Ovis aries: one gene and its partners. The protein of the gene in region 2 purifies or fractionates together with the protein of the main gene of each other region. This does not show direct contact. Links are inferred from orthologs where the notes say so. Each region holds a gene or a part of one and is shown on either strand. Other genes may lie near its edges. The genes, in order: CEP97, KIF24 and CCP110.

What was found.
Region 1: the proteins of KIF24 (region 2) and CEP97 purify together in Homo sapiens (co-immunoprecipitation; 4 studies listed by BioGRID and IntAct, with this or other methods). This does not show direct contact. The link is inferred for Ovis aries from reciprocal best matches to the Homo sapiens genes KIF24 and CEP97.
Region 3: the proteins of KIF24 (region 2) and CCP110 purify together in Homo sapiens (co-immunoprecipitation; 4 studies listed by BioGRID and IntAct, with this or other methods). This does not show direct contact. The link is inferred for Ovis aries from reciprocal best matches to the Homo sapiens genes KIF24 and CCP110.

What each region holds. Positions count from the first base shown.
Region 1 is NC_056054.1:166,998,979-167,002,268, reverse strand, and holds part of CEP97 (centrosomal protein of 97 kDa), read right to left. Parts: intron 2,348-3,290; coding exon 1,643-2,347; 3' UTR 1-1,642. UniProt on the Homo sapiens protein: Acts as a key negative regulator of ciliogenesis in collaboration with CCP110 by capping the mother centriole thereby preventing cilia formation. Required for recruitment of CCP110 to the centrosome.
Region 2 is NC_056055.1:37,231,300-37,234,951, reverse strand, and holds part of KIF24 (kinesin-like protein KIF24), read right to left. Parts: intron 2,966-3,652; 5' UTR 2,937-2,965; coding exon 2,314-2,936; intron 725-2,313; coding exon 617-724; intron 1-616. UniProt on the Homo sapiens protein: Microtubule-dependent motor protein that acts as a negative regulator of ciliogenesis by mediating recruitment of CCP110 to mother centriole in cycling cells, leading to restrict nucleation of cilia at centrioles.
Region 3 is NC_056077.1:17,602,395-17,606,707, reverse strand, and holds the start of CCP110 (centriolar coiled-coil protein of 110 kDa), read right to left. Parts: upstream 2,850-4,313; 5' UTR 2,411-2,849; intron 948-2,410; 5' UTR 806-947; intron 1-805.

The DNA of each region.
Region 1 (3,290 bases), on a different chromosome or scaffold from region 2:
TATTTAAAAACTGAGAAAAGAACATCTTACCCACAGTGAGGAAATGTTTCTAACTCTCAACATAGTATAAAATGTGATCCCTGACTTTACTCTTGGAAGGATCAGCTTTTATTTTATGTAACTTCAAAGAAGGGGACCTAGTGACTGTAACTGAATAATGAATACATATTTAGCACCTAAATTTAAAGAACACTTAATTATTGCCATAGTTTTAAATCATTGTACACACACAGACTGGGGGGAAGTCAGATATGTGTGTTCAATGATATTAGAACATTCTCAAAGATTAGAATCTCAAGCTTCCAAAAATTACCCTTGATTTGCAAATGCATTTATTAACATTCAAACACAGTATTATCATTTCTTCCTGGAGTTACAGATATATACTCTTTTTAATGAATAAAGAAATAAATGAGGTTTATTTTTTCTTTACCACCATTAAGTTGTCTTCCAAATGTGGCACTTTTTCAGATTTAGATGGAAAATAGTCCTTATTAAAAATGTCATTCCTATTCTACCACTGGTATTATTTTAAATGTTCTTTTCTGTGAGGTCAAGAATGAAGTAAATGACCATGGGCCTCTGCTGAAATATATAAGCAAATATAAAGCAGGAACAAAGAAAGCGTACATTAATTTCTGGCAACATACTGGCACATAAATTCTTATCTGTGCATGTGCTTAGTCACTCACTCGTGTCTGACTCTGTGACCCCATGGACTGTGGCCTGCCAGGTTCCTCTGTCCATGGGGATTCTCCAGGCAAGAACACTGGAGTGGGTTGCCATGCCCTCCTCCAGGGGATCATCCCGACCCAGGGATCGAACCCAGGTCTCCCACATTGCAGGTGGATTCTTTACCAACTGAGCCACCAGGGAATGCTTATCTATGGGGTGAAAAATCACTAAATGAAAAGATAATAAATGTTTGGTGGGATATTATCCCAAGTGAATGGAGCCTATACCTAACAGAAATATTCTTGTGTTGCCCTTTAAACGAGCTTCACTTTAATTCTGGACAGACAACTTTGCTTCATATGTTAAAATTGATACATAACGTTCAAGTTTTCCATGAAACAACTTAATTATTCCCACTGAAAAATCCTATCATCTTACCTTTTTTCCTGTTTGCTTACAAGAAGTCTTTCATGGATTAATAGGGAAGAAAAAGGTTTAAAAACACATGTTCTTACTCCAAAGAGGCTGGCAAATTTCAATAGTTCACAATCCTATATGTCATTTATATTTACTGTACCAAATTGCATTCCTCACTACATAATTAACTTTCTCACATACAGAAGAATTAAAAATTCTCTTATTTGCATCTTTAAGGTAAAATTTCTATCTCCTTTAAGGTATTCTAGTTTATTTCTGAAAGGAAATGAATACATCAAAACATCGGAACACTGTTGATGCAATTTAGTTGTTAATAAAGTGCATGTGGCTTTCAATATAAATATTGTTTGATACATTATAGCTAAATAAAAAGCTAACAAAACAAAAAGGAAGATTTACCTCAGTACCTAGGTTGCAGGGGAAAAAAAATAGTAACAAAACTGGGAGAAATATTCTTCTTCCCCCCCAAAAAAGCCATGAAAATATTCTTAAATTAAATAGACTTCTGCTTTTCAAGCAACCAGACATGCTACACAATAATACCAACGTGCAATACCTGAAATGTAGAATCACATTCTGACTGCTGCCCTTGTACTTCTGCATTTAATTCACAATTCTCTGGTGTCTGGCTGACTTCATATGGCAAAGCGGGAGATACGCCTTGAGCGACATCTACAGACGCACTATCAGATACGACATCTAACTTTTCAGGGGAACGAGGTAGGTGAAGCTTACTATCTCCCGTCCCTTCATCAAAGTGTCTCCTCTCATCAGCGTCATCTAGCTGCTGAACTGAAGTTAGATACTGTTCAAGCAGACTATTATCCTGCTCACTGTTTGAGCCTTCCTTACTCCATTCACCATGTTCTTCACTAACATCCCCTACGTCTGACTCTTTGCCATACTTGACAGTGTCAATGGAATTCCCCATTATGGAACTTTCACTACCTTCTGTGGAACTTTTTTCAAAATCCAAAGAATCCTGTACACAGTGAACTTGTTCAGTTAAGGAGGAATGAAAACCAGAGTCTGGAAATTCTGGTAAGGATTTCTCTTGAGGAGCTTCATCAGGAGCAATGAACCAATCAGAATTTTGATCAGAAGATGGCTCCTGACTTTGGCTGAATAAAGGAGGTTTAGATGGCACCAGAGTACTTGATATAGGGGGAACATCAATATGGCAGGAACTTAGATGCTGGTCCACAGTCTGTTGCCAAGCTTGTAGAGACCTTACCTGCAAACCAAAGGATACAGTTTCACTACAAAACATAAATCACGCCTATTTTACAACTGTCCTTTGAGGTTTCTTTCCCCCCTAGACTCAGGAAGTTGGTAAACAGCAGATGGCAAAACTGGAGTTAGAAATGTCCTGACTCCCCTGATCCTTTCCACAGCACCCCCAGCTTAGACCTGGTTGGCAAAAGCGGTTCACGTTGTTGGAAAGCAGGAAAGCAGGGATGGGCCAAAGCAATTCACTTGCTCCTACTAGAAAGATAATCAGAAGCACAATAAGGCACATACAGCTCACAAAGGGGTCAATGAGGTTCTCAATACACTGAAGTCTATTTAACAAGAAACAATAGAACCTATTAATAAGAGTAGATTCTCTAAAATGGGAGTCTCATGCTAGATACCCATTTCAGATAAGAGTTTTTAAAAACTAATAATGCAGGATTTCCCCTGGTGGTACAGTGGATAAGAATCCCCCAGCCCATGCCGGCAACACAGGTTCAATCCTTGGTCTGGGAAGATTCTACACACCGCAGAGGCCATGTGCCACAACTACTGAAATTGGTGTGCCTAGAGCCTGTGCTCTGCAACAAGAGAAGCCACCTCAACAGAAGCCTGAGCACCACAATGAAGAGCAGCCCCCGTTTCCTGTAACCTCAGAAAGCCCTCTTGCAGCAATGAAGACCCAGCACAGCCAAAAATTAATTATTTTAAAAAGAGAGGGAAAAAACCTAACAATGAAGTATACACAACTCTAAAATACCTAAAAATTCCTGGAGTTCTTAGTAATACGATCTTTACTTCTTTTTCTTTCTTTTGGCCGCGCTACACAGCTTATGGGATCTTAGTTCCCTGACTAGGGATCAAACACACACGCCCTGCAGTGGAAGCGTGCAGTTCTAACCACTGGACTGCCAGGGGATTCCGGACTTTTACATTTGTAAAGT
Region 2 (3,652 bases):
TCTGTGGGGTTTGCAGGATCTTAGTTCCCCAACCAGGACTGAACCTAAGCCCAGCAGTGAAAGTACAGAGTCTTAAACACTGGGCCACCGAGAATTTCTCAGAATAAAACACATCTTTTAAAGCATCCTAAAGGTTCTGCTAAGCTGCTAAGTCACTTCAGTCGTGCCTGACTCTGTGTGACCCACAGACAGCAGCCCACTAATCTCCTCTGTCCCTGGGATTCTCCAGGCAAGAATACTGGAGTGGGCTGCCATTTCCTTCTCCAATGCATGAAAGTGAAAAGTGAAAGGGAAGTCACTCAGTTGTGCCCGACTCTTAGTGACCCCATGGACTGCAGCCTACCAGGCTCCTCTGTCCATGGGATGTTCCAGGCAAGAGTACTGGAGTGGGGTGCCATTGCCTTCTCCAAAAAGGTTCTAGCTTTCTTCTTTTTTTAAGGCTCTAGTTTTAATGTGCAATATTCCCTAGAAGAAATAAACTATATCTGTCTGACATGCAAAGTTAATACAGCTAGAGTTAGGTCTGTTCACAATCTTAAATAAGTCAGGGCAACCAGTCCTCTAAATGCCTTACTTTCATTAAAATTCAGAGTCCAATAAGTTATTTTGAACTTACCTAATTTGAGGTATCCAAAGAGAATGCTCTTCGGATAGGGATGACTCACTAACAGGAAGCTTCAAGTTGGTGAGGGAGTTTCTCAGGGTTCTGAAACTCTGGCTTCTACTTAGAATTTAGGGGAGAAGACAATATTGAGAATTATTGGGACAATGAACTTTCTTAACCTCCATTTCTCTAATATAATAAGGAATGGAAAGTGTAAGATGATACAAACAGTGAGAAAGCTCAATTGAACACCTTTCGTCCTGCATCTGGCATGTATAAACCTCTGTGAGAGCACTTAGCTCACTCTATGGTTGTCTGACTTCCCACTCACCCTGCCCCCTAAGAGTCTCAGAGTCTCCAGATAGTCTAATGATCTTTATATCTAGAATCAGGACAGGCAGAGGGGGTATTCTATATATGTGAAATAAATAAAGCAGCAATATTTAAACTAAAATATCCATTCTATCTAAATAAATAATGGAAAGTCATATCTTCATTCTATTTATAAATAATTCCAATTTAGATTTTTATATGTTGTTCAATAAAAGACTAACATTCAAAAAAGTATTTGCTCTTTCACCGCTGAGCTAACCAACAGGACAGCAACAATCATGGTATTGATGGTCATAGAACAATCCAGTCCTTTCACAACTAAAAGAAGAAAAAAATACTATATGCTCTGTGCTTTGCTAAACCAAGCCAAAAAAAATTTTATTTTCAGAAAAACTATAGAATTCATTTATGTATTTCAAATTACTGAAGACATTTTTACCTTTAAAATTGGATCCTCTATTCTTTTAGAATAAAAGAACTGGTTGGTTATGAAATCCTCTGAAACCTTAGCCAATATAAGACCATATGGAAATACTGTTTTAAGGTATGAATAATAGCCCTTTTTTTTTTTTAAAGTGGCTTAAGAATGTATTTTGTTTCTCCGTAACTCACCAACTGTAACTTTTAAAATAACAAAACAGGCAATACACAGTATTTTTAAAAGAATGTATTTTCTATTATACCAAGGTTAGTATTAGGGATTACTTGATATTTCAACTCTTAGGGACCTTTTTCAAATTCTAACTCATCACCACTAAGTGAAAATAACTTATTGTCACTCTGGCTCCCAAACTGTAAATGCTATCAAAAGTATCTTACTATTTGCAATGACCAAACTCATCTGTTCTTCCAGGGCTGGAATTGTAAAAAGCACTCAAAATCAGGACCATATTTCAAATTTTGCAGGTAAATCAACTGCTCCAAAGACCTATTTAATTCAACTAGCTGAATTAAGCAGTGGTTTTTTTAAAACTAAGCTTCATGAGCCCTGGTTGAAGTTAATTTGACAATCTAAAAAAAAAAAAATCCTATGGATTTTGTAATTTTTTTTTTCTACTGCAGAGGAAAGTTAACTATTTTACCTTCATGGATGCACTATATATATCATGTCAGGCTATAATAAAAACAGGTCTGCAGCTGACCCTGGGAAGTAGCAGCTGCTTAATGCACATGAACAATCATCTTTCTCCCATCTGGAAAGTCCAAATTCTTCATCAATTTCCCCCAGTCAAGGTATCTGCATTATCACCACAGAAGCTGTTCACTATTATTTTCTGTAAATACGGAGTAGTTGGTCTCCTCTGCTCAAGGAGAACCCTGCCCTTGCCTAAGGCTCCTTTCCCTCCAGAAAAAAGAAAAAGATAAAAAGTTATTACCTGATATAGGAATGAGGGATTCCATAGTTATACCCTGAAACATGAGAGATTCTTTGAATAACTGAACTATCACAATCCCCCTGTACTGGAGAAAAGTAATTAGATGAAAAGGATGAAGTCTTAGCTTCTTTTTGTATGCAGGAATCAGCGGCTGTGGCATTCAGAATTCCTGTTTGTATATGGTACTGGGAATTAGCTGGTAGCATGTGCTCCAGTACTTTTATGTAGTTAGACTTCTGTTCACTTGCAGAAAAATCTGATAAATCACACAGTTCAAACTGATTGTTGCTGGTAGTTCTGTCTTTGTTGTCAGCAGGAGAATCAAAATGCAGTTGCCTTCGAGGGCCAGATCTGGATTTCTGAGGCTTGACACACAGATTGCTTGTCTGAAGACGATAGTCTGGGCTACTGACTGCTTTATCTTCTTCCTGCATAATCTTAATGATTTTGATAAGTTGGAAGAGACGTTTGCGGTCATTCATGTCATGGACTCCCAATTTGGAGTAGTCCTTCATTGTAACGTTGGCTAATTCATCTATTTTCTGAAGGCCAAGGGCAGTAAAATGAGGATAATACTGTGCTAGTTCAGCTTCACAAAGACATTCATACAACCAGGATGTCATTTTTGTGAATAGGTTTGTTTCTATAAACTCTGAAGAGGAAAAAAAAAAAATTCATTCACTTGAAATATAGTATATATAATACAATTATTCCTTGAAAAAAAAAAAAGAAACCCACAAAAGAAATATGCAGCAAAATCCATCCCAGCATTCCAGGTTTTCAATAAATACATTTTTCTTTTAAAATGATTAAATAGCATAATATATAAACATGCTTATAATGCATTTGTAGTAATCTGTCCTTTGCTTAATAAAGAGAGACTTTCAGTTATGTACACACACAGGTACATGCACATACACATAACACAAATCACTTACTTATTCTAGGGAGTTCCTTCCAGTCTTGCAATGTCTACTTCACATATACCACAAACTACTGAAACCTTCTCCCCAACTGCTGATTGTTACGGGACTAATTTTAGATGTTCAAGTTAATGTCAAGGCATGTCGCACAACTGTTTCCCATGATTAACGAACAAAGGCTAAGAACTATTTCAAAATGGAAAGCAGAATTAAATAGTGACTCACAGAGGATCATGAATATAATTCAGAGAAAATCACATTTGTATATACTGAGTACTGGTAGAAGTTAGTTGAATAGAGGTAAAAACATCATTAATCCAGAATCTACTAATTCAGGATTTTCAGATCATTCTAAAAGGCAGGTGTTTATAGATGTCTACCTATATACAGAACATGAATAAAAGAATTTACCTAGG
Region 3 (4,313 bases), on a different chromosome or scaffold from region 2:
AAATGGAAATGAAGGAAAATCACACATGAAACTATGATTACATTATGAGAAAATAAGATCTATTGCTACTTTTGACAAACTGGTAGTCCTTTTTTTTTTTCTGGTAGTCTTATTAATAGCAAAACTTCTTCCTACCATCCCACCAATTCTAATTATTTCTATTTTCATTTATGCAAATTGAGAACTTAATTTCAAAGAAATGGTTCTCTAGCGTATAAATGAGATTATCTTGCAAACTTAAATTCATAAAACAAGAAAATAAAATACAAAACAGCTTACTGCATGATAACCAAAGCAGGCCTCATTTAGTCTAGGCTTCAACCCACATTATATATTAAAAATTAGAATAGGCAGAAGCTAAGATATAAGAGAAAATTAAATGATCCCCTCTCTACTAAAATGCTTCAAAAGAATTTTTAACACAACCCACACATCCAGCATTACAAGAAACAAAAATAGATTACTCATACAATTAATGTAATATACTTCCAATGGATACACAAGCAAAGCATGGAAGGTCTGGGAAATTTAAGGAAATAAAATATCTTTATGGTAATAGCTTTATATTTCTTTCAACATCATATAAATATGCCTCATTGCTTCAGAAAGTTAAATTCACATCCCTTAAACAGTATATGTTTGCCATACACACTGCAGACATACAGCAATATATTATTATTACCGCATAACTTATGGCCTATGATAATATCATGATTATGAAAATAACCAAGTGACTCTATAGCATGAACCCTGTGTCATTCACTATCACACTATCCTGCTGTTTCCCAAGTTTCATAACACTTACCCCTATCTGAAATTATCTTATTTCCTTGGGTTTTGTCTGTCTTCCTCCACCAAAATGTAATCTCCATAAGCACAGGTACCTTCTCAGTCTTGCTCACCACTGAATCCCCATTACATAGGACAAAGTCTGTACACAGGAGGCACTTCATAAAAATGTTGAATAAACAGAATAGTTAGCTCAAATAATAAAGTAAATCAGAAAAAAGAAGACAGTAGACTACACTGCAAAGAAGCTAGCAAGGAAGAATGGAATTTAGAGAATAGGACTTTCATTGATGACACTATTCCCAGAGAAAATGGTACCTCTAAACTGCAAAGGCAACCATTTAAAAATCGAGAGCCGGAATCCTATGTAATTAAGCAACAGGGAACTCCATTTCTCATGCCACAATTACCTCTGTTAACAGGGTTTTATTTTAAGGGAGCATTGATTACAAGGCCACTGCAACCACAAATCTACTGCCCCATACTTTACCACTAGGTATTACTGGTCCACTTGAATTAATAATTTGTTGGCTGCATCAAGTTCAGACATGGCCTGTCTTCTCCACTTAAACTAGGATCCTTCTCCAAATGAGCCTCTTTGCAAACCCCATAGACTCACAACTCTGCTACCTGCTCCTCCTCAGTGCTCCATCAGAAAAGTCACTGAAGGGAATCACGAAAGAACACAGAACATGTCCTGTTTACACATCCTAGCTACTTGTTTACCCATCAGTCTTTTCAAAGGGGCAAAAAAAAAAAGGGGAAGCTTTCTTTTTCAGGCACACAGGAGCTGAATGTTCTTGGCAATTCACTTACCATATCTATCCCTCGTTTCCTGTAAAATAGGTATAATCATAGTATTTGCTTTGATGAGATTCTGTGTGGATTCATTAATAGGACATGCAGAAAGCAACGAATGGGAGTAACTTTCATTAGGAAGAGAATGATGACGACTATTTTTTCCACTAGTTTATGAATTCCTAGAGGCCAGTGACAGTGCTTTAGTTTCTGGTAAGATTCAAATTTAACTTAAAAACGTGGAGGTTGAAGAGGGAGGGGACATATGTATACCTATGGCTGATTCATGTTGAGGTTTGACAGAAAACAACAAAATTCTGTAAAGCATTTATCCTTCAATTAAAAACTAAATAAAATTTTTTAAAAAAAACGTGGAAAGGGGGACCTCAGCTTCCTCATTTTGCTGCGTTCATTAAGTCAAACTCTAGGTGCCTGCCATTGCTTAAATTGGGAGCAGGGAACTGGGGTTATAACCAGGTAGAAGCAAAGGGTGGAAACCACCTAGTAGCATGAGGGCCAATAAAGATAATTTGCTTTTTTATCCTTCTCCTTGCGCCCCCAGAGAGTCACAAACGCAGGATGAAGAATGCGCCTAGGCCCTTTAGCTGGTGATAACTGGCATTCAGAAATGGCCAGTGCACACCCTGGGACGCTCCCCTTGCCAGGAAAAAAAAAAAAAAAATGGCCCAACCAGTTCTATCAACAGGAGATGGTTCCCCAGTTTTGGTCTGATTTTATTTACTGGGGACCCTCTGCCGTCTCCCCAGCGCCCCAAGTCCACCTTCCCCAGCTCCTCTGATAAAGCTCCATCCCGAGGACCCACCAGGCGGTGCCAGCATCTGAACATCACCTCCGCGACCGATGCCGCAGGCCCCCGGGGCACCCGCCTCCACACAGCCTGAGTCTTTCCAGGGGCTCGACGTCCGGAAGCCCCTGCGCTCGGGTTTCTTTCAGCTCCTCAGCGCGCCAATTCCGCCCGCCCTGCGGCCTCGCAGCCGAGACCCGCTGAGTCAAGCCCACTCTTAGGCACACACCTGTTCTCCCACGGTCCCGGCAGGTTTCCTCCCCTAGCTCCTGGCCTTGGTAGGAAGCAAACTGCTCAATTGGTACTGACTGAAAACAACTCCGTTCGCCGCCGCCTTCTCCTTCTCCTCCCCGCCATATTACGGTACTCTGGCGGCAACGCGGGCTCCTGGCAACCGCCGCCGCCACCGCCGCCGCCGCCGCCGCCGCCGCACCCCCACCTCCGGACTCCACCTCTTAGGGCCAGAACTTCCGGTGGCTGCTTCCGGGTCCGTTGGCCCGGTTGGGCCTTCAGAAAACTACAATCCCCGAGTTGCTGTGCGCGCCTGGTTTACGCGTCCCGGCCCAGCGATGGAAGGCGTTGTTCTTACGGAAGGCGCGGTGCACGCCGGGAAGCGTAGTCCTCACTGACCGCTCTCAAATTTTCTTTCGTTAGGAGCTGAAGCCTCGAGAAATGCTCCTTGAAGCTGCTATTTTTCACTTATCTGTAAAGAGATAACTTCTTTCTGTACAATCGTTGGAATACATACAGTAGGCACCAAATTTTTTTTCTCTCTTAAAAAAAAAAAATGATTGAATCCTAGATGCCACAACTTGAAGCTTCAACACTTGCCTACTCTTGCAAATCACAGGGAAAATACCTCCAAGAAACGAAGGCAGCAGGTTAAGAATGGCAGGAAAAGCTCAGAATGTTTTGCCAAAGTTCTCTGTCCAAACATATTGCCAGTTTTCTGTCAACTTAAAAAAAAATACCACAAGAGTTGTAGGTTAAGTTTTATTTGGGACAAAAATGAGGACTATTACTCAGGAGACAGCAATTCAGATAGTTCTGAGAAACTGCCCCCAGAGAGGCAGGAAGAGAGGTCAGTACGATTTTAGCGGAAAGGGATATGTGAAGTCAAGCACACGTTTTGCCAGAGGCTTCCGCTGGCCATGAGGAGCTGATACCACCATTAATGATTTTAGTGCTTTTCTAGATAGGAGGAGATGTAAGAATTGGGCTCATAAAATCTTCTGAAAATACCCAATTTTTCCCAGAGGACAAAGTACCTCATTCCTGATCTCCACCCTGAACTCCTTTCAGGATATGTTGAAGGTCAGTGGCTGCAGTGGCTAATAATTTAACCCTTACAGAGGCAAATGGCAACTGCCAATTTTTGTTGGCATTTTCAAAATATGACTTAACAGCTAGCCCCTTTCCTAAACTGGCCTTACTTTCTGCCTCTCTTACCCTCTTTCCCATGCCAATTTTCTCGTGTATAAAATGAGAGATTTAAATGTGCCTATCACAAGAGTAGTTGTAAGGAATACTTGAGATAATTCTTGCAGTTCCTTGTACAGAACCCCCATCATTAGACCTTAGTAGGAGAAGAAGTAAGGTTAAGAGGAGTAGCAGTAGAAATTTCATGGCATAAAACTGGGTAGCATGATGTTAGTCCCGACTCTGCCATTATCAGCTCATTTCACTTCACTTCTCCTGGCCTCAGCTTCTTCATCTATCAAATGAGGGCATTACTGAAATCCCTTCCAGCTTTACAATCTGATTATACCTGCTCTACTGTTTTGTTGTTGTTCAGTCCTTGAATCATGCCCAACTCTTTGCAGCCCCATGAACTGCAGCACACCAGGATCCTCAGTCCTTCACCATCTCCCAGAGTTTGCTCAGATTCATGTTCATTGAATTGGTGATGCATATCTAAACA